Arabidopsis thaliana: one gene and its partners. The protein of the gene in region 4 interacts with the protein of the main gene of each other region in a pairwise test. Each region holds a gene or a part of one and is shown on either strand. Other genes may lie near its edges. The genes, in order: CHY1, AT2G27580, AT1G12440 and AT5G37890.

The links.
Region 1: the proteins of AT5G37890 (region 4) and CHY1 interact in a two-hybrid assay, tested with the Arabidopsis thaliana proteins (one large-scale study listed by BioGRID).
Region 2: the proteins of AT5G37890 (region 4) and AT2G27580 interact in a two-hybrid assay, tested with the Arabidopsis thaliana proteins (one large-scale study listed by BioGRID).
Region 3: the proteins of AT5G37890 (region 4) and AT1G12440 interact in a two-hybrid assay, tested with the Arabidopsis thaliana proteins (one large-scale study listed by BioGRID).

What each region holds. Positions count from the first base shown.
Region 1 is NC_003076.8:26,374,906-26,383,509, forward strand, and holds CHY1 (beta-hydroxyisobutyryl-CoA hydrolase 1), read right to left. Parts: upstream 4,777-8,604; 5' UTR 4,764-4,776; exon of another isoform or gene 4,713-4,763; intron 4,343-4,712; 5' UTR 4,257-4,342; coding exon 4,227-4,256; intron 4,152-4,226; coding exon 4,071-4,151; intron 4,007-4,070; coding exon 3,938-4,006; intron 3,877-3,937; coding exon 3,813-3,876; intron 3,738-3,812; coding exon 3,658-3,737; intron 3,589-3,657; coding exon 3,505-3,588; intron 3,426-3,504; coding exon 3,341-3,425; intron 3,259-3,340; coding exon 3,173-3,258; intron 3,032-3,172; coding exon 2,910-3,031; intron 2,676-2,909; coding exon 2,615-2,675; intron 2,518-2,614; coding exon 2,419-2,517; intron 2,353-2,418; coding exon 2,251-2,352; coding exon of another isoform or gene 2,227-2,250; exon of another isoform or gene 2,175-2,226; coding exon 2,133-2,174; intron 2,057-2,132; coding exon 1,925-2,056; 3' UTR 1,705-1,924; downstream 1-1,704. Other genes in the region: ZWI (kinesin-like calmodulin-binding protein (ZWICHEL)), read right to left, coding at 1-119, 203-302, 388-954, 1,031-1,259, 1,350-1,489; AT5G65950 (trafficking protein particle complex subunit-like protein), read left to right, coding at 5,385-5,773, 5,867-5,928, 6,009-6,123, 6,204-6,327, 6,418-6,498, 6,682-7,023, 7,280-7,446, 7,542-8,383. UniProt on the Arabidopsis thaliana protein: Involved in valine catabolism. May be indirectly involved in benzoic acid biosynthesis and in cold signaling and cold tolerance.
Region 2 is NC_003071.7:11,774,480-11,781,219, forward strand, and holds AT2G27580 (A20/AN1-like zinc finger family protein), read right to left. Parts: upstream 3,075-6,740; 5' UTR 2,807-3,074; intron 2,690-2,806; 5' UTR 2,653-2,689; coding exon 2,161-2,652; 3' UTR 1,931-2,160; downstream 1-1,930. Other genes in the region: ATC (centroradiali), read left to right, coding at 1-30; AT2G27570 (P-loop containing nucleoside triphosphate hydrolases superfamily protein), read left to right, coding at 850-1,179, 1,237-1,353, 1,408-1,616, 1,661-1,826; AT2G27590 (S-adenosyl-L-methionine-dependent methyltransferases superfamily protein), read right to left, coding at 3,289-3,490, 3,946-4,064, 4,173-4,653, 4,742-4,848, 5,089-5,298. UniProt on the Arabidopsis thaliana protein: May be involved in environmental stress response.
Region 3 is NC_003070.9:4,239,531-4,246,519, forward strand, and holds AT1G12440 (A20/AN1-like zinc finger family protein), read right to left. Parts: upstream 3,672-6,989; 5' UTR 3,278-3,671; exon of another isoform or gene 2,830-3,277; 5' UTR 2,793-2,829; coding exon 2,286-2,792; 3' UTR 1,891-2,285; downstream 1-1,890. Other genes in the region: AT1G12450 (SNARE associated Golgi protein family), read left to right, coding at 4,966-5,226, 5,424-5,660, 5,763-5,980, 6,083-6,278. UniProt on the Arabidopsis thaliana protein: May be involved in environmental stress response.
Region 4 is NC_003076.8:15,087,864-15,095,618, forward strand, and holds AT5G37890 (Protein with RING/U-box and TRAF-like domain), read right to left. Parts: upstream 4,093-7,755; 5' UTR 3,960-4,092; coding exon 3,768-3,959; intron 3,318-3,767; coding exon 2,649-3,317; 3' UTR 1,815-2,648; downstream 1-1,814. Other genes in the region: AT5G37900 (TRAF-like superfamily protein), read right to left, coding at 6,040-6,621, 6,796-6,939. UniProt on the Arabidopsis thaliana protein: E3 ubiquitin-protein ligase that mediates ubiquitination and subsequent proteasomal degradation of target proteins.

The DNA of each region.
Region 1 (8,604 bases), about 11 Mb from region 4:
TTTTTTTTTAAATACCAGTTTGCAGTGTAGTATCTCTCCTTTATTTCGATCTTTAATAGCTTTAAATTCTGCGAGGAGATCTCCAATATACTTGTTATCATCCAATCCTATATATTCCTCTGCAAGTGCACAGATAGAAAAATGATCGATAATGTTGTATTACTTCACAATATATGACGAAGCCAGTCATATGAAAGCATACCATTTCCGGGATCAGATGATTTAGAACTTGAAACAACTTTACGACATTCAAACAAACTAAAGCTAGAGAAAGCTGATAGTTTAATTGTTCCAGCTAGCTCCTGAAACAGATGTCAATGCAGTGAGAGAAAAAGGGACAAGAATATGATCAGCGGTAAATTATGAAAAAAGAAAGCAAGAAGATACCTCAACAGCATCAGACACTGTGGTAGCCATGTCATATGAAATTTCTTCAAAAGTTTCATCGAGAAAGAAGACAATGGTTGTGAGCTTTCTACCGGTCAAAAGGGCTTCAATTTCTTCACGACCAGGTGTGGTGTGCCTAGGACCAGCTTTGATAGAGCGCTTTAAAGCTTTCAAAGTGTTAACAGCAAGAACCTGAGCATCCGGTTCAATAGTTGCATCGTGTGCGACATTATGAATATACTCAGATAGATATCCACCGATATCTTTGCTAGGAGGCATAGAGGAGGCACATAAGTACATCAATTCCCAAGCTTTGATCAAGTATTGCCTGTCAGGATTATGTCTAGTCTGTTTGGAGATTTGGGCAAAAAGTTCGTCCCTGAGTTCAACACGCTTCAAAGTTTTTTTGAAGAGCTTTCCAACGAGGTCAATGCGTTCATCTAAACTGGGAGGCGTAGATCGATCAGATGAATCAACACCCATATATTTTAAGATGAGATGAAACAACTTGGTAGCACGGCTGACGAGATCGCTGTTAATCTTGAGGAGAGATGTGGGGATTGGATCCTGAAGGAAGGAAGGGGAGAGAGACATATTCAGTCAATGGATTGTCAATGGGGAAGAAAGGGGGGGAAAGAAAAACCTTTTGAAAGCAAAGCATATCCTCAAATGTGAAGCGCTCGCGGACATTGGAGCCAGAGGACTTTTTGGAATAGAAGAAGCCACGCTTCCCAGCAGACTGGATTTGTTTCTGCATTAGCCGCAGAAAAGCTTCAACCTGGAAGCGATCGATGAGGGGAATGGCGGCGGCAAGCTCCGCAGGAATTGACAATGCCACTTGAGGAGCTGGGGAGCTGTGACAGAGCGAGAGACTAAGAATGTTTTCAAATTTTCAAAGAAGAAGGATCAACAGAGACAGCAGCAAGAGAGTGAATGTTTTTAAAAATTCAAAGAAGACTTACAGAGGAGGAAGAGAAGACGACTCGGCATCGAAATCGGTTCCAGAGGGATTGGGAACATAGAAGCAAGAAGAAACGTCGGTGGCGACTTCGGTGCCATTGCCAGAGCTCAACGAAGAATTACTGCCTCGTTGGCCCTCCATACCCGAAGAAAAAGAGAGATTGTAGTAGATCTGATGAACAAATTTGCCCCAGAAATTTGGGCAGAGGGAGAGAGAGAGATGGGGAGACGAGAGTCACGGGAGATTTTTAATTGCCTCTTCTCATTCAATACTTCACGATTCACCTGATTTTCTAATTATTTTTCGTTTTCAGAAGATGAGACCAAGGAGGAATCTCAATCAAATAAATGAACAATGACTATAGACGTGCTTCCACGTCCGTTTGCCATGGTTGTGCCTCCAACACCATTAACAAATCTTAACACAATTCTGCTCTGCTGCTTTGGTGTCAATTCTCAAATACAATAATGATTTATGTAATGTATGCAAGTCCTATTCAACACAAGTGTTGTTACATTTATTTTCTTTTTTCTTTCCCACAGACGTAAACAATAGTGCTCCATCACCTTCTCCACTTCACAGCTTTGCGATCCCTAAAGCAGGCAAGTTATTCCTTGGCGGAAGCTTTAGATCATCCTCCCGTTCCACTCTCTCGAAGTACTGCTCCACCATGCTATCCTTCATGTCCTCCAGTCGCCTTGGCTCCCACTATAATTTCAGATATTGTTATCAACAATGTCACATATTACCAACCACAAATAACAAATGGAGAGACTTGTTAAACCTTTGGGTTCTTATCTTTGTCTACCAATATGGCTCTGCACCCCTGCATAAGTAAAGACACGCTGTTGTAACTACGGTCTACAACAAAGACGGTTTCAGATGGAAAAAGCTTGCAAAACCTCCACAAAATCTTTGCTGATTTCTCCCTTCATCACATGACACACCATTCTATACTCGCGGATAAGACACTGCCCCACCCCCTGCAATCGCCCTTCCCTTATCTGAAATATATACTCACAGTCAGCTCTTTGTCAACATTGCCTGTGATGCACATTCTGGGAACTAACCGATCTAAGAGAGATTTTAAGGCTTGCTGGTGAACCCTTCTTCAATGCTTGAATGGTAGCTGAGATCCAACCATCTGCTTCTTGAGTGGCCTCTCTCTCCTAAGCAACACATATGATGGTAGAGTGCGTTGTCAAAGGTAAATCAGTCAACTCAGGATCGCAAGTCAACATCTCTATATATAAATGAAAAGCTTACAAGTGCAGATATAATTTCTTCGACTGTTCTCCTTGAGAAACACCTATCAATAACATCTAACCTGCGCAACAAACGGGGAGATAAAAAATAACTGTCCTCTGCACTTTTATAAATTTTCAATTAAAGATCAGATGAGAAATGAGTTCTGTAAAGAGCGATTGAAAACCTGACAGCAATACGAAATTGAAATTATAGAAAAAATGTGTTATAATCATGGTCAATAACCGAGAAAATGTAATCAGGTAAAACCATACTAGTAGAAAGAGTAAAAGAGATAAAAATCATATAGACTTGCCTGCGGTAAGCACTCTGCTGTTTCAGGCGCGGATGCTGGGTGTATGCATCGAGAATTGTTGAGGCAAAAGTTGGATCATTTGAATTAATTCTGCAAAGATCTGCTTCTAATGCAGTCAACCTCTGTGGAAAGGAGTAAACCTAACTAAGTAGCAATCCTTGGTGAAGCAGATAGTGCTTGACACTAGTAGCTATACAATATCTGATGTGTAAAGTCAATTCAGAATGTCTTACGAAATAGACGCACGCAAAGGAAGTTCATACCGTTGAAGGCACAAAATGAGTTGCAAGGCCACAAGCAAGCATTTCAGCACCATCTAATCTAGCTCCTGTGAGGCCAACATACTCCCCTGAACAAAAAAGACAAGAAAGCATTTTCAAACTTTGGTGGCTTTAAGAAGATGCAAAAAAAGGAAATATAGCTTCTGTTACCAAAAAAACCAGGGAGCCTTGACAAGAAGTAGGAGGCGCCTACATCTGGAAAGAGCCCCAGAGCTGTCTCAGGCATGGCAAAAACCTTGGAGAAAGTCGAAAGATATGAGCATATTTTGGAGCGACCTATTTGTCATCCATGGACATGTTTAAGGAAAGATTACCGTGTTCTCAGTTGCAATACGAAATCGACCATGGACGGATACACCAGCTCCGCCTCCCATGACGATACCATTCAAGATTGAAACCTATACGAATTGATGAGTTTATCCACTCGGGAGTGATTTTACAAAAACAAAACGAAATTATAGCGAGACCTGAGCTTTGCTATATGTGGCCATAACATAGTTGAGCATGTATTCAGATGAGAAGTAATTGGCACCGAGTCTCCAGTTACCTAGTCAACGAACGAAGATAGAGAAAGAGTGTATAAAAGCTGAAAGTAAGAAACAGAAAAGAATGGGTGGTAAACCTTGATTGATGTCACGAACAACAGCTGCAACATCGCCACCAGCACAAAAGGCTCTCCCATGACCCTGTGGCAAAGTTATTCAGTACTAAATGTGTGTAAGCGGAAGAGATAAGGATAATGATTACCTTTAGGATGACAAGTTTCACACTAGGGTCCTCCTCAAATGCAAGGAACAGTTGCAGCAATCGAGAGATCTACAGAAAAAAATGAGTCTAAGCCAATACAGTACGCATGTACAAGAAGGGAAATATTCGATACCATGTGGAAGGACAGAGCATTCAGCTGCTTTGGTCTGTTTAGTGTCAAGATTCTAACACTCGATTTCTCTTCCACCAAAACCTGTGATCATATTATTAATTCAGAGAGCGAAGAATTGATCGTCGTAGATTCGGATTAAAGACGCAAGAAAGAGACCTGAGACTGAGAGGCCATCTCGACTGCCATCTTTCTTACTGGTCAGATTCGCCTTTGTATCTCCGGAGAGAGGAGCAGCAATGGGATCAGAAATTACCACTAATGGCTAACAAAATCTTCACCCGCTTAGTTTAGGAAGTTGATATTGGGCCTTATAGTAATCTGTTGGTTTTAATAATGGGCTTTATTTTGTTAATAGAGCAAATGGAACTTTGCTTTTCAAACTCAATTTCAAAGCCCTCTTGCAACATGCTTGATGAATGAGAAGATTATATGTTTTTATCGAGTACGTTAGACATGTGTTTTTTTTGTTAGGAAGCTAGTTTTCCAACTAACCAACACCTCCCTCTAGCATAAAATGACACGTGGGCACCAGATCAATCATTAAAAAAGTCTTCAAAAATTCTCAACAACCACTTCTAAAAGTCAGACATGAAAGCCCTCGCCTCTCGATATATAGATAATTTGCATATACATGAAAACTCAACAATCTGACGCATATGCAACAGAGTTGAAAGATGGAAAGAGCAAGGATACGATGGCCGAGTGGAAGAGGAATTAGGCTGAGGCAGAAGACAAAGAGACTGCGTGCGAGAGTGAGAAGCTTTTTCAGGCTTCTCAGGAGCTGGTGCTGCAGAAGGCCTCCGCTGGTCAGAGAAGACGGTCTTGATTACACATCTATACGTCGCTCTAACTCTTTCTACGCCGATGCAATTGCAGACTGCATTGACTTCATCAACCGCTCCTCCGCTTGACAGCTTCTCATTCTCTTCCAATAATTCTTTCTTCCATTTTGTAAAATCCAATGTTTCTGTATATGCAACCAATTCGAATTCTTTGTATTATTTTATTTTTTTGACGAGTCGATGCATCTTTAAGAAGTGGGCTTATAATGGGCCTGATGATACTACATCCTTAGAAACCACATTAGTTTAAATCAGATCTGACAACTGCAGTGGTTCATACCCTTAAAGATTAAAGGCCCGTTGAAAACCCATTAAGTATTTCACATCATATTCTGGGCCAGATGAACAATCTGACAGCTATACAAGTCCATTCCCTTATCCAAAGGCCCGTTAAAAGCCCACGTAAAATGAATGTGTCAGATCCTTCCTTGCTCGATTCAACGCGTCCGAGTCTCAGACACTCCCCGGCGAGATGGAGGAATACCCGGAAGAGCTCAGGACGCCACCGGTAAGTCTGGTGGCTCTCTTCGGATACGCGGAGCTACACGCGTCCATTACTAAGTATCTCCACTCCCAGCAGCCTCCCATCAACGCTCTGGCCTTCCCCGACTTCTCTCAAATCTCTCTCCTCCTTGCTCATGATGATCAGATCAGCCGAACCTCCTCCTTCAGAGATCCTCTCAGCGTCTCCGATTCTGCTTCTCCCATTCCTTCCAGATGCGGCGGTATTTTGAAACGGGACTGGTTGCTTAAGCATCGCACCAAGGTCCCTGCACTTGTCGCCGCCTTCTTTCCCTCACATCACATCTTCGGCGATCCAACTCAATGGCTACAGGTCTGCTCCGATCTCGACAGCCTCAAGTATTTCCTCATCTCCCTTTATATTTGTTTCCTTGTTTCCCCTCCTTTGTTTCAAACCCTCAAATTAACACTGCGATCTCAATTGCTTGCTAGATCCGTAATCCGTCCCAAAAACATCAAACTGGTGGTTGTCGTGGTCCAGTCTTCTCCCCACGGTAGCGCATTTTATCCGATTATTCTTTTCATTTTCCTCTCGGAACTACTGGTGACTTACTCCTTCCCGACTTGTTTTTAGAGGACATTAGCGACGATCGTCTGGTGGCATTGCGAAAGCGGGCAGAATTAGATTCTAAGTACGTGCTCTTCTTCAATTCCAGCATAGTCTCTGAACTCACGCTCTCTCTCTCCAGGTATGTTTCTCTCCTCTTTTACTTTGCACCTAGAACAAGAGGCTTTTCCTTCAATGCATCTCAACACGGTATGTTTGCAGACTCGCTTCTGCTTTTGCAGAGTTGGCACTTTCTTATTACAGAGAAGAAGGACGGAGAATCAAAAGCCGAATTGAGAAAAGGAGTTCCAATTCTCTTGATTTGAATGTTCGCTACTGTTTTAAAGTAAGCTTTTCTCGTTACCTCTGCTAAGTCTAATCATTTTGTTCCAAAGTATCTGGGAAAAGGAAGGCTCATTCATGCCATGACTGCTAGGTCGCTGTATATGCAGAGTTTCGTAGAGATTGGGGTGAAGCACTGAAGTTTTATGAAGACGCATACCATTCCTTGCACGAGGTCTTTATTATCTCTAAGTATTTTGTTTTTTCCCAACCCATCTGTCACGCTAATATGTATTCTGCTTCTAGTCAAGAAGTTCCTTTTGATGCATATATGGTCATTGCTTTCTTATTATTACATATCTTTGCCTGCGGTTTCCACACATTCAATTTCGACGAGCAATTTTGTTTATGCAAACAGATGATCGGGACATCGACTAGGTTGCCTGCAATACAACGCTTGGTCGAGATCAAAATCATAGCTGAGCAATTGCATTTCAAGATATCAACGCTTTTGTTGCATGGTGGAAAACTCATAGAAGCAGTGACATGGTTTCATCAACATAAAACATCATATGAAAAGGTTGTCGGATCCACAGAATTTATTTTTCTCCATTGGGACTGGATGAGTAGGCAGTTTCTTGTCTTTGCTGAGTTGCTGGAGACAAGCTCAGCAACTGGTCAGAGCTTAACATCCTCAAACCAAGGAACTGCGGAAATATCTTTGACTGAGTTTGAGTTTTACCCTGCCTATTATTATCAGGTCAGTCAATTCTGCTCTATGTAACACATAGTCGGAACATATCTAAACTTGGTGGTGCATTTTGTGTTAAATCTTTTCTGTGTCTTTTACCATTTAGTTAAAAACAATACTACATAAACTTAAACACCTACCTCTAAGCAAATGCTGGATTTTTCGTCCTCTTTCTCATAAATTTCTGAGCTGTCTGTTCCTAGGTACAGTATGTTGAAAATATAATATGTTCTTATCCACTGGGAAATTTTCGTTTTACACGCAGTTGGCTGCTCATTACTTGAAGGATAAGAAATCTGCCCTGGAACTGTTGTTGTCAATGTCTGAAATAGCTCAAGAGATTGATAGCAGCTCTGCATCTATTACTCCTTCAGTCTATGTGGGTCAGTTCGCTCAGTTGCTTGAGAAGGGAGAAGCTATTACACTTCACTCGTAAGTTGTTCATAATTCATCCCACAAATCTATGTAAAAGAAAACTAATTATGCTACCACCATCTCTAATAGTATGAATTCTAATGTATTTGCAGTATAACGGATGAAGAGTACACACGGTATACAATTTCAGAAGCAAAGAGAGTTCAGGATTCCCTTCAAATTATTGCTTGGCTGAAGAGATCTTATGAATCATTTACCAACCTTAAAGCCCAGAGGATGGCTGCTCTTTGTGCCTTTGAAGTAGCCCGGGAGTACTTTGATTTGGCTGATCCCAACAACGCAAAATTCTTTTTCGATATTGCTGCAAACTTGTACAGACAAGAAGGTTGGGTAACTTTGCTCTGGGAGGTGTTGGGTTACCTGCGAGAGTGTTCGAGAAACCTTGATGCTTTGAAAGATTTTGTAGAGTTTTCACTTGAAATGGTTGCCCTGCCTGTAACATCTTATGAGAATTCTGGGAACTTAAGAAACAAAAATTATGGTCCTGGAGGTCCTGCAACAATTTCAGGAAGAGAAAGTATACATCAAGAAGTTTTTACTCTTGTTTGTCGTGAAGCCGAGCTGTTATCATCTACCGAAGGAAGTGGGTTCAAATTAGCCACTGATAGCCCTCTTCATCTCGAGATTGATCTTGTCAGTCCTCTGAGACCTGTTCTCCTAGCTTCAGTTGCTTTTCACGATCAAATGATCAAGCCTCACGCTTTGTGCTCTTTTACGTTGTCACTACTTTCTCATTTACCTCTTCCAGTTGAAATAGATCATCTAGAAGTTCAGTTTAATCAATCTACATGCAACTTTGTCATCAGAAATTCCCAGAGGCCTCTGTGGGCTTCGGCGTCTAACACTGTGAAAAGTGGTAGCCAAGTGGAGAATGCGCCATTGCTGGTGCTTGTGCCGAATAATTGGTTAAGGTTGACATATGCAATCAAGTCTGGTTAGTGTGATTTAATTATAAGGGTGTTGTTTGTATCTAACACACTTTGCACGTATTGCAGTTATTCATTGAAATTCAAACCTGTTTTGGACGTTTTCGTATTCTCAGTTACCAATTAGCAAAACTGAAGCTTCAGAACTTGTATCTATCTTATGAAAGCAAAAGGGAAGTTGTTTTCTTGGCTGCCTAACTTTTCACACATTTCTTTGTTTCATCTGCAG
Region 2 (6,740 bases), on a different chromosome or scaffold from region 4:
CAGCGTGAGACCGCCGCTAGACGCCGTTGAATGACTTTCCACCGCTGCCGCAGCTGCCCTAACTAACTCTGGCTGTGCCCGGACAATATGTGTTGTTCCATGCATTCTATATTTTAGTTACGGGAAACAGCTTTTCCTATCATATTTATGTGTGTATTTGTTATGAACTGTTTGTGATCTGAATAAACTTGGCTTATAATCTCATGCATGGTCTATTTTCATATTGATGGATGTTAATTTTTAGTATTATCAATGTAATTATACCTGATATTCCTTATTTTCAAAATTATGATATAGTTGTATAATGGTAGTCGTCCTTAAGTAATTGGTGGCTGCAAGCACCAAAAATTTGTTTGGACAAATTACCATGATCGCCGTCTGTGGGGATCGAACCCACGGCCACGTGGTTAAAAGCCACGCGCTCTACCACTGAGCTAAGACGGCTTTGATTACTTTCATAAAGTTATCGAAAATCAATCCTATAAACTCATTATTTTATTCATGTTTTGATATACTTTTACTTAACGCAGAAAAGATACTATAAGTCAATAACGCAAAGTTAAATACGAATTTTCTACAACTAAATCGTAACTACGACAACAAATCCTAGCAACCATAAGTCCATAACGATTGACAAATAAACAAACAAGTGTCGATTGAAAACGTTAACAATTGACAAATAAACAAACAAGTGTTGATTGAAAACGTTGCGTATTGCAACAACACAATCATAATGATGATTTACAAAGTGTTGTTCGCTTTAGAACCAAAGCTCCCGTTTCAGATGCTGAAGGCTCGTTGAGACCTCTTATCTCATTCCGCTTCTGTCCTAAACCACAATTTTTGGTAATGGATGATAAAAAAATGGCGGTCAACTTGAGAAACGATGACTTAAGCGAAGAAACAAAGACTCTCATCTCTTCACTACCTTCAGACAAAGATTCCACTGGGATAAATGTTTGTAAGTACCAAGGATGTTGGTATACTCACCACTTTCTCCAAGCTGTCCTCAATTTCCAGAAAAACTTCAAGCCTCAAGACACCAATATCATCGTTGCTTCGTTCCCTAAATGCGGCACGACTTGGCTCAAGGCACTTACATTCTCACTAGTGCATAGATCAAAACACCCTTCTCATGATCATCATCATCCCCTTCTTTCTAACAATCCGCACGTTCTTGTCCCCTAACTTAAAATGAATCTCAATTACTATAGCGAAAAACCGGACCTGACCAAGTTCTCATCGTCTCCGAGGCTGTTCTCGACACACATGCCGTCTCATACGCTGCAAGAAGTGCTTAAAGATTCTACTTGTAAAGTTGTGTATATTTGCAGGAACATGAAAGACACATTGGTTTAATATTGGCATTTCTTTTCTAATGATGATAACGTAAAAACCAGTTTCGAGGAAACGTTCGAGTCTTTTTGTAAGGGAGTCAACTTTTTTGGGCCTTTTTGGGACCAAGTCTTAAGCTACTGGAGAAGAAGCTTGGAAGATCCAAATCATGTCCTTTTCATGAGGTTTGAGGAGATGAAAGCAGAACCTCATGAGCAGATCAAGAGACTTGCTGAGTTCTTAGATTCTCCTTTACTAAGGAAGAAGAAGAGAACGGATTGGTGGATGAGATTATAGATCTTTGCTCTCTACGTAATCTAAGCAGTTTGGAGATCAATAAGACCGGAAAATTATGTGAAGGTAGAGATAACAAAACATTTTTCCGTAAAGGAGAAGTCGGTGATTGGAAGAACTATTTGACTCCTGAAATGGAGAACAAAATCGACATGATCATCCAAGAGAAACTTCAAAATTCTGGTTTGAAATTCTGAGTTTGTGCTTTTCTCCAATGCATTGTAATAAGACTACCCTATGTTGTTGTCATGCTTTTCTCTGTTCTACATATTGGCTAATGGCTAATGTAATGACGAACCAATCAACCAAATCCAAATTCTACACATTGATAATACGACTTAAGCCTTCTACAAGATCATCAAACGGAACAATCAAATCAATAATAAGCAAATTTAATAACCAAACTGAAGAAATCATCAAATAAAGCTTAAATTTACATTGACATGTTTGTTTCTTGCTCTTTCTTCTTCATGTGTGTTTCATTCAAACGCACAAAACCAAAGCAACAACAACAAACAACAAACAACAAAGTCAAATCTTCTCAAGCTTATCAGCTTTCACAATCGGATTCGCTTTAGCGATCTTATCCTTCCCCATCCGCTTGAAATCAAACGAACATTCATGTTGCTCCGCGTACCTATGCGTCCCGCAGAAAACGAAACCACACCTACACCGAAACCCCGTGATTCCCACGCGCCGCCGACAAGTCAAACACCGCTTCGGATCTTGCGGCGGACCATCCGCCTCCTCCGGTTCAGCCGCCGCTCGTTTCTCTGATTTCGCTTCAACGATTTCTTTCGAATCAGCTGGAGGCGGAGGCGGTGGCGACACGGAGGAAGACGCAGCAGCGCCAACGGCGGCTAAGGATTGGGTAAGAGCATGTTTGGCGGTGGAAGAGTTTTGTTCTTGATGTTGAAGATCTCGAAAACATTTGGAACAGAGATTTTGTGTAGCTGTGCTTCCGAAGAAGCCACAATTGTTAGCACATAATCGTGGTTCTTGAAGTCTGTGTTCTTCCGCCATAACAGAATGGATCAAAACAAACTCCGGCGAAAAAAATCTACAAAATTAACCGATCGATGGAATCAAAAATCAATAGATCTGTTGCTTAAATCTCATCAAAACTATAGAACAGAAAGAAAAAACTAATGGATCGGCGAAAACAACAAGTCATTACCTGGTGAAAAAAACGATTTATTAGATCTGTTCGAATCGGTGATGGTTCTAAGAAGAGAGAATCTGTATTTTTATAAGAAGAGAGAAATCAATGGAATATGGAAAGAAAGAAAGGAATCGAGAGATGAGAAAGGAAAGAGATGAAGAATTATGAGGAAATGGGAAAACTAACGACGACGCAATCGATACAAAATTAAATTGTTATTTTACTCTTTTTTTTGTTGGCCGTAAGATGGAAATTGGACAATTTGTGGAAAATGGTGTTATTTGGCTTTTGGGCTAGCGTTGAAGATTCCAGAAGCACCTACACTATTCATTTTAACAATTTTGTGCTTGATAATTGAAATCATGAGACGACAAAAAAATAATATTGAAATCATGAAACTAAACCAGTGCGTGTCAGAAATAAATACTAGATGTAAAATCGACAAAGGATCTGAGTTAAAGGGCTAGTGTCTTTTGATCAAAAGATAGAAAGCATAACTAGAGGCTGACCGCAACAATGTAAGCATTCCAAGAATCACACTGTTGAAAGCTCTTGACTTGTTCGTACTTGATATCACGTCCAGCACCAAACCCATCTGTTCTACGCATTTCAGAAGCGTCCGGCATTTCTCTGAGCCAGAAATGGACTGAGCTAAACCCAGCTTCCTCCATACAATCCTTTATCTCCGGCAATGACCACCTACACATATATGAACAGCAGATCCAGGAGTTACTTCTCAGGAACTTAATGATTCAAGAGTGCAAGTACAATAAATCTACAGACAATAAGGAAAGCAGGAATATTGTCTTGCCCGAATATAACATTCAATATCATTTCACTGCTACTTACCAGCCAACACAAGGATAAGTCACTAACATATGAATTTAGATATCAGTAACATTCGAGCACATGTTTGTGTAAGTTTTGATCCATAGTGGCTGCACTACAGAATCTCTACCTCACCCAGCCAACCAAAATTACCAAAAGCCTACACTTATCAAGTTATCTAAAATGCTAAGCAAACCCCTAAGTACCAAATATGCTTCGTTTTTTTGTAACTGTAATATTTTCTTAAGGCTTGTGGGAGATTGTGGGTAATGACTGTCCCACTTTGAAGAAAGAATGGATGTGGAAGTAGACTACAGGACACTTACAGTCTCCAGCTATATGAAAAAGCATGGCGAATCTTTCTGTTCTGCTTCTGAAGGTGATAGTGCAGACTGATCCTTGTCTTGCGGCTTAAAATATCAAACTCAGCCTGCTCCCATGTATACTGCCAAATGAATATGGACAATCGTTAGTACGGTTATCTCTAGTAAGTTCGATATTTATGGCTCTGACACCCTTTTTTACCGAATGAAGTACAAGAATGAACTATTACCGTGAAATTAGGGAATTTCCGTTGAAGCTTCAACTGTCCCTCAGCAGAAGCACCTCCATATAAATCCATCACGAAGATACCACCTTTCTTAGACAAAGCGTCACGTGCATTCTTGAAGTAAGAAACCAACTCCGAGCGTTTGTGGAGACAACAACAACTAAAATTAAAAGCACACACAATATCCCTCTTTGGCAACGAATCAGGTCCATCTTTCTCTAAAGATTCGACAACACTCGGATCAGCCAAATCTTCATTATCATCACCATCATCCAAGCTGATATTTTGTATCAGCTCATGGGATTTAGATTTCACTTGCTTAGCCTCAAGAGGAGTTAAAACATTCCCATGGAAAAGCGACATTCTTGAATACACGTCAGAACCAAGTTTACTAATGTTGTTATCCATACACCATTCTAACGCCTCAAGATCAAAATCAAGCCCTATAGCAGTCCGTCTAGTGTCAGTCTTCAGCCACTCCGCACTATTCCAACAATCAATGTAAAAACTTATTCAAGCAAGAAAACCAAAAGCTACATTATTTTGTACCATTTAGTGAAACACACAACAACCTTAAAAGAGCAGTGCCGCAGAAATCTTCTTGGAAATGGAAAGGTTGTCTTCCACCAACATACATTAAAAAGAACTTCTGCAAGTAACTTATGTCTCCTTTTGGTGACTGCAACAAACAAAAAGCAATGAAAAGACAAGAACAACAAATGTTAAAGCTTAGTGCTTGATGATAGAACAAGAACAGTGAAACACAAACAATACAATTTGTTAAATCTTAGTGCTTCTTTATACAAGAGATACAGAGAACTCTCTCCCTAAGAAAATTTAAGTACTTTTAACTGATTTCATAAAACCAGTAAGAACCACTCAATGAAACTTAGAAGGCCAAGCACAGAATTGCAGTTACCTGAACGGATTGTTGGTAAAGGAGAAACTTTGAAGGCAAATCCGATGATTCGTTTCCATCATTTTCTTCTTCTTCTTCGTCAGAGTTTTCTTCATCTTCTTCGTCGACGGAGGCAACAGCCGGCGGGTGTTGATCGTAGAAATCTTCAGCATCATTCGAATATTCACCTTTGTGGCGACGTCGATTAGGTTTTTTCTCTCGTTTCCCCATTTGTCGTCGTTCTCAGTCCAAATTCTCAATCCAGAGAATAGAGCAGAGCAGAGCAGTCGAGGAAGAAGAGAAAAGCGTTGACTTTGTGTTTAGTGTGTCTTTAGACTGAAGAGTGCCCTAAACTATGCCACGTAGGCCCTATTGCTCTCGGTTTAGTGTTTTTTTTGGGTCAAATACCGGTTTTTAGTGGTTCGGATGGTATTTATCATGTGGGGTTTTTTTTTTTTTTTTTTTTACTATGGTTTAGAAAAACTTGGTTAATTATCACCTAAAATAGTGTTTTGGTGTTTCGTTGGAGATGACTAGACGCATAGGTAACAAATAGTACTTTGAAAATCTCAATAGATCTTGCAATGATCTCCTCTTATTATAAGTTTATGATGGATAATGTATTTCTTACTTGAAGATATGTGTTTCTTGCCAATAACTATTGATTATCTTGTGTTTAAGACAATAATATATTACCATTTTTGTATTGCCTAATCGCTTCCACACTAATGAACATATTCTTTGAACTTGAAAATTTCCTTTTTTCTTTAATGCATTGTCAACTAGTGAAAAATTCATTCGTTCGTTTTATCATTGAGACATAATCAATAATCTTGCTAGTTGGGTATCAATAGAACCTGTTCGCTTTGGTTGACAATTACGATTCGCTGCTGAAACTCCGGTCTTTGCGTTTGCAATGTGCACAAGTGACTCCAAATGTTTTGAATGAATAAAAGGAATGTCCTTTCTGCAACTTAAATGTTCTTTGTTGCAAGTTTAATTTTGGTCACTATTTTTTGCTACAATTGCATTCAAAGTAGATTTACTAATTTGTGTTGATGTTAAGGTTTGTTTTTGAAATAATATTTCTAGTTTGTTTTCTTAAGGTTGATAACAAGAAAACTTATCATGGTCATGCTTTATATTGTCACTATTTGAATTTTTTTTCAAATTTGCCTCCTATTAGAAGGACCTTGTACTTAATATATTTGAATGGTGGGATTTTGATGTATCTCTCTACGTGGATTTTTTTGTTTTTCTTCTGCTTTTTAATACAATTTGTTTTCTTTTTCAAACCATTTAATACAAAATTATTGGAAAAAATAAGCATATATTAAAAAACGGCAAGCGTTTTCGTTATCATTCATCAAAACATTGAGCCAATTCTTCACAACTTCCAAAAACGCCTCACCGTTTCATTCTTCTACCAACCTACGCTCCGCTGTTTTCAAGACCTTTTCGTCTTCGTCGTCAAATCTAGCTTTTTTCTTCATCGCTTTGCATAATCCATTCCTTCTTCTCTCTTCTCCATCTCCTTCCTCCGATCTTCGTCTCCAATTCGGAATCTTCCTATCACAATTTCAAGGCTCCTTTAACCCTTGATCATCACCGATTCAATCAATTCGGAATCACAATTTCAAATCGAGAGAATTTCAATTTCTCTTGTAAAACCC
Region 3 (6,989 bases), on a different chromosome or scaffold from region 4:
TATGATTCGATTTTTTTCATAAAATTTGTAGTTCGCTTACACCTGGTTCAAACATCATGATCCTTCCAAACCAAAAAACACCATCATAATAAGAAAAGAATGAATAACAAAATTTGAACATATTCAAATAGTGAATTCTTAACCCAATTGACACATCTCTGATATTTCATAATCAAATGTAAAACGAAACCTTTTTTTTTGCCATTCTGGTGCTTTATAGTGTGTATATACTGCAGCATTGATGTATAAAGAGGGAAACTTATTCAAAGCACTCAGACTATTCAGTATTCATGTAGGGGCCTTCTTCAATGAGAGACTTTACTAAAGTGAGTTATATTCAAGGAACAAAGAGTTATTTTCTATAAAATATAAAAGGGCACTTTGTTATTTCTCTTTCTAATTTCAGCATTATTTGTTTATTATATTGATCATAGGATTTGGGGAGATATTCTAGACATGTAAAATGTCCAAAATCGAAAATTTATGTTTAAAATCGAAAATTGAATTCATATAAAATTGTTTTTTTTTAGGGGTAAAACTATGAATTACAAAAGGTTATACGACTGATGCAACGTCAGATCATTCGATATTGCATCATGGCCTGAAAGTGGTTTTTTCCAAAGGTTGCAATGTCGCAGTAAGTACTTCATTGTTCCACTATTTTTTCATGTATAAGAAAGAAAAATAATAAAGCCTAAAGCAAAGAAGTACAAAACATGTTTCACAGTTGAAAACTAAAAGTCTACATGTTCATTTGTTAAGTTTTATAAAGAAAACTGTAGTGCACTGCTTTTCTCTCTTTGCTTTTTGTAAATTGGTTGATAAGATCCGAAAAATGGACCCAATATTGTAATGTAACCATCAAGAAGTGAAAGTGAAAGTGAAAGCAACAGTTTACCCACACCAAGGACATATGTTCTATCATTTCATAGTCTACCTCAACTCGTCGGTTGCAGTCTTAAGTTTTGATATCAATTTTTGTTTGTTACAGTTTTTCATAGTTTAGACAATTTAGAAACCGTATTGAAAATCAAATCCAGTTTCATCTAGTGAAATTTCAGATCAAAATCAGTTGTATGCGAAGACAGTATATAAAAAATTTGGATGGATACTTCTTTTATAAAAATAGATCAGATGCAACTAGTGCACTTGATTGTGGATATTGACATTGTTCAATACACACCATTCAAAGATCTGCATTGGCATTGACTATTCCATCTTTTTGCTAAAAACTTTTGATGGGTTACACTTTAAACATAACCCCAACGAGATGAAGATCATACAAGCACAGGGAAATAATCTTATGAGCATCATTGCTAGGGAATATGTATACACAAACGACAGAATGTATTCAATCTACAGTCATCGACTACAACACCGAATATCCCAACTAGTTCAAACAAATCGATCATGGCCAAAACCGAGCCTCAAGTCTTTAAAGTTTCTTAAGCTATCAAAGCATACTGCCACTACCAGGCAAAAATCACTGATTTCGTTCAATCACTGGGCACTATCACCTAAACATCTCTTAATCTGCCATGGTTCGATATAGGTAAACTACTTTGACTACTTCATTGGATCCACCATAAGCTATATAAAAACTCCACTTACTCTAAGTCCCACAACTCTTAAGTGAATCAAACTTTGTCCAGGTAAGAAGAACACTACTTTCTCCAGCTAAGACAGAGAAAGCAAAATCAATGACTCATTCAATCAAGGACACTTAACACCTAAACTAAAGACACATCTAAATCTTCCATGACTCGATAAAGATACCCTGAACAACATCTTCAGCTTCAGAAATTTCAAGCTACATACTTTATCCACCATAAGCTATAATGCTATATACAAACCCCAACTTGTTCGTCCACTATAAACAAACCAGGGGAATCCACCATAAGCTCTATACGACATCTTTAGTTTCAGAACTATCAAGCTACACACTTTTATCCACCATAAGCTATTTACGACCCCCAACTAGTTCATAAGCCTCATAACCAAGAGAATCCTATATCTGCAAACAATTCAACTTCTCCAAGTAAGAAGAAGTAAGCTGGTACCAATAAGAACACAATTTCATAATATAACCAACACTTTATTACAGAACAACAAATCCAATGTTGCAAAACATGAAACCACATAATAGCAGAATCTAAGGCCTTTCCTAAGAAACCCTAAAAGCAAATAAAACCATAATAAGAGCAGAAAACAGAGAGCCAAACCACCAACATCACGAGACTTGAAAATAAAAAAACAAAAGAGAACACAACAGTTTCTTCACCAATTCATATCCTATCAACCTTATCAGCCTTCACCACAGGATTAGCTTTAGCAATAGCTTCTCTCGCAACTCCTTTGAAATCGAATTGGCACTCGTGACTCTCTGGATATCTATGAGTTCCACAGAAAGTGCTTCCACACCTACACTTGAAACCCGTCACGCCAACTTTCTTGTTACAGCTCAAGCATCTCGTAGCCGTCGATTTCGGTGGATCCAACGGAGCAGCAGCCGAATCACCCCCTCTCGTTGATGAGGAAGACGATCCAGATCCGAGGACGCCTTGAGTGATTTCTTGGCTCTGTTGTGGTTGAGTTTTGGGTTTATTAGGGTTTAGAGATTTCTCGACGGCGGCTTTAGCGGAAGCGGTTTGTTCCTCCGTGGCTCGGATGTCTCTGTAGCATTTAGAGCAGAGGTTCATGTTCGATGGAGATCCGAAGAAGCCACATCCTTTGACGCAGAGCTTTGGCTCTGAAGGAGAGAAGCTTGTGCTGTCGTTTTGCTCAGAACCCATAATGGAAAGATCTCCCAATTCCAAAGTCGAAATCTTACTGCAAAAGAAAAGACAACACAAATCGTGAATAACAGATGAAGAATGAATTTGTGACTTTAGGTTTAGGGTTTTTATTTATGATTCCGTCGAGAAAATAAAGGGAAATTGACAATATCGAAAGATTTAGAAAACGGAGATTCTTGGCTTGTTTCTCAAGCGAGAAAGACTAAAATTATTTCTCATTTATGACTAAAATACCCTTGGAACTCTTTATAAAGTCGAAGAGTAAATGCGTCATTTGTCAACACTTAAGACCAGGTCAGCGTCTATCTCACAAAGACCACTTTACCCTTCCGGCGCAAAAAAGGACAAAAAAGAGATAGATAAGAGTTGTTTAATCTTCGCCGTCAAAAACTTAAATCGAATGGTTCAAGAATAGATGAAGGATTCAAACGAAGAACACAAATCTGCATATCGGCACAGAACAAAACCAATAAGATATTTACCTAATTCCCACCCAAAACTCTGCTTTAGTATGTCGGCGACAATTCTCTCGTAAAGAAAATCTCTGACGGTATGTATCACTGAAAATTTCCGATAGAAACTTCGTGATTTGATCGGAGATGGAGACCGTAACCGAAACCTCTTAGCTTTCGCCAGAGAGAAATTAGGACAGAACAGAAACCAGACTCTTTTAGTTCTTTTGCATTTGTCTTTGTGGTCAAATGGTTTATTCATATGCGGTAAGGCGCACGGAAGATTTAATACATCCCTGATAATATTCGTTCGATGAAACAATCGGAGAGTGATGACGCCATTGTTTACTAATCCAACGGTGGTGATTGGAAGTTTTTTGATGAGATAAAGTGGATATAAAATGGGTGGGGTTATCAACTTTTTATGGTGTTTGTGGATTACGATAAAGTTGGTTCGAGTTCGTGAAGATAATCGGTTTTATATGAACCGGGTTTGGTTTGTGGGGACATGCTTAGCTGGTTGGACGGTGACGTAACAGTAGGATAAAGAAAAAAGGTGGCGCGTTTGTCCCGACGCGATTAGTCCATCGCTCTTTTGATTTGATCGGAATGTGATGATATGTTGTTCCAAATGTACTCTTTCTTCCTTGGGCCTTTTCAATTATCTCTTTCTTTTCTTCGCTAAAACGACCGGATTTTAAAAGTGGTCAGGTCTTTTCTCACTGAGTTTACTTGCAAATATCAACATGACTAAATCGTTTTAATTTACGTAAAGTGTTTTGGACACCACTATATCTAATCTTGAGCTATAATTTGTTTATGCTTGTCCTTAAAATCGAGACTAATTCAATTTCCATTTATCTGGTTTGGAAACGACTAATCGAAATCCAAAATCATCGAACGCTATCATTCAAGACGTTATATTAGCAAGCGACTCTCACTCGCGACTGCATCCTTTTTTTTGGATCCAATACTGACCATAAGGTCCACAACCAAATTAAATTTGATATAGTTTGTGAATTGTTTATAGGGTCCATAAGCTTCTTAGTTCTTATGCTCCTCTTTGGTATGGTATTAATACTTCAAAACGTAGCTATCTAATCTATATATCATCTATCGATATGTTCATTTTTACAGGGAGTCTTGTTCTTATATTTTGCTTACAAGTATCAACTTTGGTTGCGTTTCATTCTCTTGTTCGATCCTCTCGTTTTCTTTTATGTTATGCTCCGTAATATATATAAATTGCCTTCAAGCAACTAAATTTCAATAATTAAATATGTTACGTATTTCTTCTGTCAGTACGATGTATGTACGCACCGTAACGGCAAAGCGAAAATAAAGCGCCGGTCTAAAGCAACTCTGCTTACACATTTATCGGTGGTTCGTGACGGAGCAACAGCTATTAGCCACTCATATGTCTCCACATGTTTGACTACGACACCGGTTTAATAAGTTGAAACTAAACCACCTAATTATAAGGATATCATTTTTTAAAAGTTTTTAAAGCTAAGAACGGAAACGAATAATAAAGATTCTTTCTTCTAACCCCATTCGCTCTCTCCGATCAACACAACATTTGATCTAACGGTTTAATTTTCTCGAGAAACCGAAGGAAAACAAACAGAGGTGCATAACGATTCTGACGGAAACTTTTGAGATATTTTTTTTAGAGCCAAAAGGATTCACTTTTTTTGGTTTTATCTTCGCATCGATCTATGACGTACAGCAATGGCGTCGATGGGACGGTGCCTGAGCTGAAATTGAGAGTCGAAGAAGATTCCGATAATGGTGATTATCTGAAATTGAGAGGAGGATCAAATGAAGAAGATGAAGGATCATCGGCGGAATCATCGAGATGTCCGATAGGATCGGTTACTTCTGTCTGGTTCTGGGTGAAATTGATCTCCTTGGTCGTTTGTTTGGGTTCATTGGCCTTTGTTATCATCAAATGGGTTGGTCCCTTTTTGATTGAAAAGGTTCGTTTTTTTTTTGTCTCTCGAAGATCTGATGCTTATTGGTTACATTTGATTGGATTAGGGTATGCATAATGATTCTGGTTTCTGCTGGGTTTTTAATTGTTGAAAATTAGGGTTCTTGAATTACATGTATGAGTATGTGTTTATAAGGAAGGTTATTCATTTATCATCATTAATGTTGGTGTGATTTGTTTCAGGAGCTGATTCCATTTATAAATTGGGTGAGAAACACATTCAGCATACCGGTTCTCGGTCTTCTACTATTTGCCTCAGTGGCATTGTTTCCAAGCATTCTTCTTCCTTCTTCCCCTTCCATGTGGATGGCTGGTCTTACATTTGGTTATGGAAAAGGGTTTCTTCTGATTTTATCAGCTGCTTCCATCGGTGTTACTCTTCCTTTCTTAATTGGACATCTCTTCCTCCACAAGATGCAAGTAAGCATCATCATCCCATACTCTTTGTTCGGATACTTATTATTAAGCTTGTACCATGAGATGATCAATTTGGACTTTTTTTCTTTCTTGTCATTTGTGCAGGAATGGTTGAAGAAATACCCTAAAAAAGCAGCCATACTTAGAGCTGCTGGTGAAGGAACCTGGTTTCATCAGTTTCAAGCAGTCACACTAATCCGTGTCTCTCCATTTCCTTACATCATTTACAACTACTGCGCTTTAGCGACTGGAGTTCATTATGGTCCTTATATCTTAGGCTCTCTTGTTGGAATGGTTCCTGAGATCTTTGTCTCAATTTACACGTACATGCCTCTCTCTCTTTCTCTATGTCTCTTGTCTCAATGTTTAAGGCATGTTCTGCAGAATCTTAAGACTGGTGGTTTTCTGTTTTGGGATATTTGCAGGGGTATAATGCTAAGGACACTAGCAGTTGCATCAGACACGAGACACACACTTTCGGTTGTGGAGATAGTCGTGAATGTTCTTGGCTTCTGTGTAACTGCGAGCGCGACTATAGTCTGCACAATCTATGCGAAGAAGAAGCTAAGTGCGATGCAATCAGAGGACGTAGAGACATTACAAAATCCAATACTTTATTAACTCTTTTCACCATGACCACAACATACCATCATCTAACACGATCTTGAAATTGATAATATATAATGTTTTTTTTTTTTTTTGTTATTCTTATTCATTTGAAAATGAATATTTATGTCTTTTTCTCTTGTATATATGATATGTATCAATTGAATTTTGAAAATTTCCAATGTATATTTATTAGATCATCTAAGTCTTTTTCTTTCCTTGCATATAATCCACCTTATGTATCATGGAACAATGTCTTGTTGGGTTTTGTTCAAAAGTAAAAACAAAAATGATCCATGAAGACTGTGTGTCCTCCTATGTTCCATGAAATTTATGTATCAAATGATCTTTGGAGCTAACTTCGATGCTGAGTGTCAATGATGACGTCATCTGTTTCGGTTTTGTTGACAGAGTAGTCAACGCGAGAACCTCTGTGATGTTTGGGTTTAGTGCCACGTTATTGGGCCGTCGGACCAACTGCGCCAACTTCAATTTCATATGGATAGGTTTGGATCAATTTCATATGGATCATATGATACGTTTGATGTATTTAACAAGGAATAATTTCCTGGCAATTTTTATTACTTGGTCTGAATAATGATGTAACGAGTGAAGAAAATATATAGCGTATCTTAAAATTAAGCATAAGTATTGAAAATCATCGAAAAAAGGAGCAAATCTGGCTTCATATAGTGAAAATATTGCTATGAAAGTCTCTGATAGACC
Region 4 (7,755 bases):
ATAATTCATTTTTATGTTCTCATATTTGTTAGTTAATTATGAAAATTCAATATTTATTTTTATGGTTTGGGTTTTTTAGAGGTAATAAAGATTTAAAACTTGTATTATTATTATTATTATTTTTTAACTTGTATTATTTAGAGATTGACCCGCGGTACATCCAGGGTTGAAATATTTCTTAGAAAATTAGATATTTTATTTTTATTAATATTGTTTATATATATAACATATTCAAGAGGTACATCAAACGTCTATATTTTTATTAAATTAAAAATATTATTATTGTTTTTAGGATGATCTATAGATACATGCTATTGTCTTTTATGTATGATAGTATGATACACCTCTGTATGATTTTTATAACTATTTTTTTTTAGTGTTTAAAATTGTATAATTGTATCATTCCGTATTAATATCGATCCAAACCTATCCCACCATATAACCTCGTCCCGTGAAATTAAACATCATTTTATCATTTTTTTATGAAGTTCGAATAATTATAATATTAGAAACTTCAAAAAAGTTTTAATATGGACCAAACTTCATAATTGTATATTGATTGTTACATATAGGATTTCACCCGTAATATATCGTTCAATATTAATATATTTTTAGTATTTATAATATTTTAACTTCTTATAAAGTTCAAATATTTACAAAATTTACAACTTCATAAAATTTTAAAATTTTTAAATCATTAATATTAAATTTATTTTATAGTTATTAACTTTTAAATTTTCTTAAGAAATTGTAATACTTAACTTTTAATAAATTTTAAATATATATAATATTTTAAAACTTTAAAACTTTTACTTATTTAAAATAAAGAACCGGAGTAAACCGAACAATACTTTTAATTTTGGATGTTTGATATATCAAGGTTCCTTCTCATTCGTATTCAGAATCACTTAAATATTTTTTATAGTATGACTCTTAACGATGTCCCAAATTTTTAAGCAATGTGGGACCTTTAAAACTTTTTTTTTTATCGATGGAGTATTATATGTCTGTTTTAAAAAATTTGAATTTTATCGGATGCAAAAAAATCTAATATTTTATTAAATATATGTATTTTATATATAAACTAAAATAGCTATATATAAAAACAAAGATAATGACAGAAAAATTATATATTTATATTTAATGTTGATATATAGATTTTAGGAAATTAGCCTTAATCGAATATAGTTCAATAAAAAAAAATTTAGTTAAGGATAAAAAATTAGGAAGAGTTGATTCAACTAATTAATGCAATTCAACTAATTGTAAGTTTTTAGTTATAAAGTATTTGATTGAGATTAAATTTGTAAGGACTAATATTGAAAATAGTAAATAGGTGAGGGATTTTTGGTCAAAAACCTTAGCAAAAATATATACATGTAAATATTTTAAGATTATTGTTTAGACCTAAGCAAGTTTTGTGTGAGAGATATACTTTTGGAGAGAAGAATCATATCACTAGCAGAAAAAGAAAAATATTTAACTTAATCTGCGTTGTAGACTTGTCGTATTTTCCTTGTTTAATTTTAAAGTAATAACAAATACTATCATGTATTGTATTGTACACTATTATTTTACAGTTGTCCAACGTGAAGTCACGATATGTTCTTGTTCCTAGATGGGATTCGAAGTCTTGCTTCTTCAAACTTCCAATCGTTAGAAACAAGATCCGGAAAATCCGAAGTCTTGATAATTGAACAGCTCTCCGAAATCAATAATGAACGACTTTCTTTAACAAAAAAACAAAAAGAAAAAAAAAATAATGAACGACTTTTTTATAACAAAGAATATAAAAAAGCTTTCAACTAAAACAAAAGAAAGCTTAGTTGTATTCACAAGTTTTTATATTAAATGGCTGGCTAATATATATATGCAAGGGGAGAAGGAGAAGAAGAATATCACAAAAATCGATCCAAATCTCCATATTAGCAGCCATGAGTTCAATGGGTGTATTTTGTAAGGAGGAAATTGGTGGAAAACCGAATTTGGTATACACATTAACACAAACAGACAACCCAACCTCTTCTGGTGAGGCCCTAACCATGGATTCTGGTGAGGACGATCTCCCTCTTCAACCTCTTTTTTTCTGTCCTATGGGATATAATTATATGTCCATGTATACTTTCTTAATTATATCATCCTCCATATATATATATATTTAACTAACCTTTTTTATAATTCATGATATATACTTGATCTTGCTAAATTATACACACTTTTCAAGAACTACAACTCCAAAACTGAACATATTTTGTAGAACTTCGCTAGAATCCTCAAATCCTCAAAACAAAACTAGTTTTTGTAACTTTTAGAATCTAGTAAAAGGGCAAGTTTCCAACTTCGTTGTTCCTAATACAGAGTTTATAACAAGAAACACCAAAACCTGGAAGAATTTTAGTTATCAAGAAATAAGAATCAGAAAGATGGAAAAATCTTCTTGGAAGACAGGAATCGTCAATGCTTCATAGCAAATGGCCTATGCATAAATTATATCTTAGTTTAGATTGAAAACATTGTGAAACGTTTTGTTGGTCGATTGCACCAAGTCTCTAAAATTACAACCCTCATCAACCATAACGACTATGGGCGGGTTAAGATAACTAAAACGAGACAGATAAGAGTTTTCTAACAGGAAGACCCCAACCTTCTTACTCTTTGTTCAACTTCTTGACGCTAATCCTCATTTCCAACACATCACCACGCAATAAACTGTTGGGAATCAACATGAAATTCTCTTGCGGGGTTTGAAAACTCAACTTAAGAACCCTCTTCACCTCTGGTGATTGGTAAATCACAGTGTGTCCATCGACAGTGTAAGAGAGAGCATATGAGTACTGACTTAATTCTGGAGAAGATGGCGCAATGCAGCTTACAGTTACATACACACCATACGGCTCCCTGAAACACTGCACTGCAAACAAATGATTCGTCAAGTGTTCCGTTCTAATCAATATCTTTTTGCTGATGTTCATCCGGACACTTAAGGGAATGTCACAAATGAACGTATTAATCTGGTTTATTTCCATATGGGTAATACGATAGTGAGTGTACAGATCCTTGTATGAGCTAGTGTAATTGCAATCCAATGCAGGGCAGGCGCAATGAGAGAACATGCATTCCTTTTCATGAGTTAACTCTTTCCCATAAGATACATTCTTTTTGCAACCTAACTTGGCGTTCGGACACGGGATCAAGATCGATTCAAGAACACTCTCCATTGCTCTGCAGCGATTGTGGCCAACAGGCGAAGTACACGCAGGGCATTTGTTATTTAGTTTGGGACAGCAAGAAGAACAAGCCAAATGTCCATTATCACACTGAAATTCAAAACCAATAACTTGTGATCAAAAGCTATAACAACGTCGAGATAATATTCATCGAATCGACCAAGGATAATAGTTCTCTCCCCAAATGATTCTCCCATATAATTCATGATATAGACAAGTTATACACATATTTTCAATAACTATATACAACTGCATACATGAACATAACTTACTAAAGTTCACTAGAATTCTATAAAATCATCACAAGCTAAAGCTTAAGGACACTCTTGAAATCTAGTAACTAGTAAATGGGCACAATTCCAACTTCTTCTCTCTGCAATTTCTTTAACATAACTTTCAAAAGTTCACTAGAATCCTCAAAAGCTAAGGCTACTCTTAGAATCAAGTAAATGGCCACAGTTCCAACTATGTTCAGAGTTCTAACCAAAACAGAAACTTTCTGAAAAATACGAAATGATTCAATTTGAGAAATTACGAAACCTGGAAGATGGGAATTGTGAAAGCTTCGTAGCAAATGGGACAATCGAGAATCTCCAGATCCATTAGCATTGTCGAGCGTTTCTTAGCGTCTCTCTTAGCTGCATCACTAGAAGAAAGTTGTCTCTTTTGCGAGAGAATGCTGTTAGATCCAATTCCTTCGCCGGGAGATTCCAAAATCGCGGCACCAACCATGTCGGAGAGATGACTAAACCCTAAATTCGCTTTTAGTCTTCTCGAAAACTGAGAGAGGCAAATAGAGAATTTAGTTGATTTTGTTCATTGATGGATGGTTTTACAGAGAAAGGAGACAATGGCACAAACTATAGATGATATGGGCTTCGATAGTTCTTCAATTCCCAATTAAGGCCCATATAATATATAAACAATACCTTTTTTTGATAAACTTATAAACAATATCTAATTTTTAAGTCTATTAATATTTACAATATAAAAGAATATAATTATATATATAAAACCATTTAAAAATTAATATTAGTCTTAAAGTTTATGTATTTTTTAATTCTTCAATTCCCAATTAAGGCCCATATAATATATAACAGAAACAATGTCTAAATTTTACAAAATACAATAATAATTATTTATTTAGTCTTAATAGTTTATGTATTTTTTGCTACATTAATTAATAAGCTAATTTTTATTTTTAAAAGTTATGTAGCTTTTATTTATTTTTTTGTCAAAAATGTGGTTTTGAAGTTGGGATTTGGGGCAATCACAAACCACTAGACTAATTTTACCTTGGAAGATTGATAAAAATAGCAAAAAAAAACAATTTCTTCAAAAATAGCAGCTCATTTGAATAGTTCCAAAATTACACTCAAAACTTTAATTAATTATTAAATATTTAATATAAATAACTAATTTAATTAAATAAATAAAATTAAATATTTCTCGCCAAAGATTTTTGTCAAAATTTTCTCACAAAAAAAAATCCGTCAAATGTTTCCCATAAAAAAAATTTAGGAAAGATTATTATACGAAATTTGGGAAGGATTTCACGGAATTCATAAAAGATTTCACAAAAAAATCTTTCCTAAAACTCTTCCTGAATTTTGTAGAATCTTTCTTAAATTCAGGAAATGATTCTTTGAAAGATTCCACGACATAGATGTCACTCCATTCAGTATCAGAGTCCTGACCTCTTTTCTTCAGGTAATTTCTAAATTTAATATATCATAGTGTTGACCTCTATTCCTCAAGTAATTTTCAAATTAAATGTTTAAAAATTCTTTTGATTTTTGGTGGTAGACTGCTAAGATTAAAGAGTCCGATATCTACATGATGAAGATAATGGAGTGCTATACAATGTAAGCTAGTAATTCAAACCTTGAGGAAAATATTATTGGAAACGCAAGGAAAAAATCGGCGGTTGATTCACAGAATTAACAGATATATAGGTTAGTATATGCTTAAACCAATATAATTTCAATAACCATATCGTTTGCAGAATTAACAATTTATGAGTTATATAGTTCATTTTTTTTGAATAGGGTCAATTACTATGCAGAAGTAGCAGATTGCTAATAAAAAAAAAGTTTGTGTTAGCATATTCATAGAGCATTCACCCAAATGATGAATTTGTGTACTTTTTGAATTTTTTTAATTGTTAATTTTAATAATTAAAAATAAAATAATTATTTGAATGCTATTTTGTCCAAAAAATGTTTGAGTGCTATTTTTTTCCAAAAACTTGAAATGGTGCTATTTATGGAAATTTCTATTTTAACTTTTGCTATTATTTTTTCTGCTAAAGATTTAAGAATTTTGGTATTAGCTTTTATATTCTTAACTAATATGTAAAATTGCAGTTAAAACTACCATATTGGAATTCTTTAATCATTGAATCACAATTCACAACTAAATTTTTTCTTCTGCTTTTAGACATCACACGTTCGTACGTTTACTTATAATTAGATTTCGACTAAGAGTAGAATAAAAGATGGAGACCATAATCATGACAAACGAAAGAGCACGCATTACTCCAATTTGGTCATGCATAAAGTATAGCTTAGAAGTTATTAGATTAAAAAACTGTGAAATGTTTTGTTGGTCGATTCCATCAAAATTTCCATTATCACTCTAAATGCACAAAAACGTGTTAAGCAATACCAAACAAATTGCATCAAAGCTGAATCAAGCCGTTAAGCAATTACATCGGATCTTAGTTCGTCAAAACTTATATAAATGTCAGACGAGATAGAGAGAGTAAAAAAATGACATTCCTTCCTTCTAGTTCTATATCACCTCAACATTCTTACTCTTGGTTCGACGTTTCGACGATAGAAAGCTTAATATCCAACAATTCACTACGCAATAAATTGTGAGGTATCAACATGAAATTCTCTTGAGGTGTTTCAAAACTCACTTTACGAACCCTCTTCATTTGTGGTGATCTGTAAACCATAGTGTGTTCATCCACAGTGTAGGAGATTTGATATGAGAACTGTCCAACTTCTGGAGCAGATGGTGCAATGCAGCTTACGGTTACATACACACCACACGACTCCCTAAAACACTGCACTGCAAACAATATTTTCTTCTCATATACCCTTGTAATTTGTATCTTATCGCTGATAAGCATCGGGGCCTTATATGGAATGCTAGATCTAAAGCAGTTAGTGGTCCAGTATGAGTTCGAGATGTGAGTCAGTTTATAGTGATCATAGAGATCCTCGTATCGGCCGGAGTACTCACAGTCCAATGAAGGGCATGAGCATAGAGAGAAAATGCATTCTTCTTCATGAGTTGATTTTTTCCCATATAAGAAACTCTCGGTGCAACCAAACATGTCGTTTGGGCATGTGACCAATATCGATTCAAGAATATTCTCCATTGGCTGATAAAGAAAGCACAAGCAGGGCATTTGTTCCTCAGTTTGGGACAGCAAGAAGAGCATGCTAAATGTCCATTCTCACACTGACATACAAAAAAAAAAACACTGTAAAAATTTCAAGAAAAAAAATATGTATTAAAAGCTGGAAAAAAACAATTTTTAGACAAGAAACAAAACCTGGAAGATAGGACACGTCAATCCTTCACAGCAAATAGGACAATCGAGGATATCAAGATCTAGCAATGTCGCCGAGCGTTGTCTCTTAGCCACTCTCTCCCCTCCATGACCTTGAGATATCAAAGCTTCTAAGGCTCCCACCATGTCACCTAGATATCAATAGTAAAAATATTATCATATTTTCATTAATCAAACAATTTTAAAACATCCTCGACTGATGAAGGCAGAAGAGTTTGTTCGAAACTTTTATAAGACTTCCGTACCAAAAAAAGTAAAAAAAAAAAAGAGTGTTTAAACGCCAACTTTTTAAATCTCAAAACACAAGTCTGATATCTCTTAAACAACGATGGATAGATCTATTTGTAGAAGACAACTTTTAATACATCTCTTAGGAGTGGTAAACACAAATCCAAACTAACTAAGGAAAAGGAAACTAACCAGAAAAAGGAAATCTTGTTAAATACCTTAGAGCTTGAAAACCAAAAACGCAAGGGAAAGCTAGAAGAACACGTGTATGTTCGGTTTTATTTTAATTAGGGTTTTGTGTAAGGGTTGAAGAAGTATTTGACACAAGTTCATATCGTAATTAACGCAACTGATATATGTGTAGTCAATCAATCAGACATTCACATGTGTTAAATATATTTTAGGTTTTTTACTTATGAAGAGGAAAATTATAAAAACAATTAAACGACTAACATCATTATCATCATGATACGTGTGATGATCAATTTGATTGTAACATGTGTCAAATATTTTAATATTTTACTGTATTATCTTATATGGCATATTAATTGGTTTTTAAATTTTCGCATGTTTCCAAATATTTAATTTACGTTTCTCATAAGTCAAAACCATGGAATAATTTTGATCAAGGAAGCATGGAATGAAGCAAACATCATTCAAGTTTCACCGCAAGAGCTTAAAATTTCTACTTGATGAATATTACTAAGACAGGAG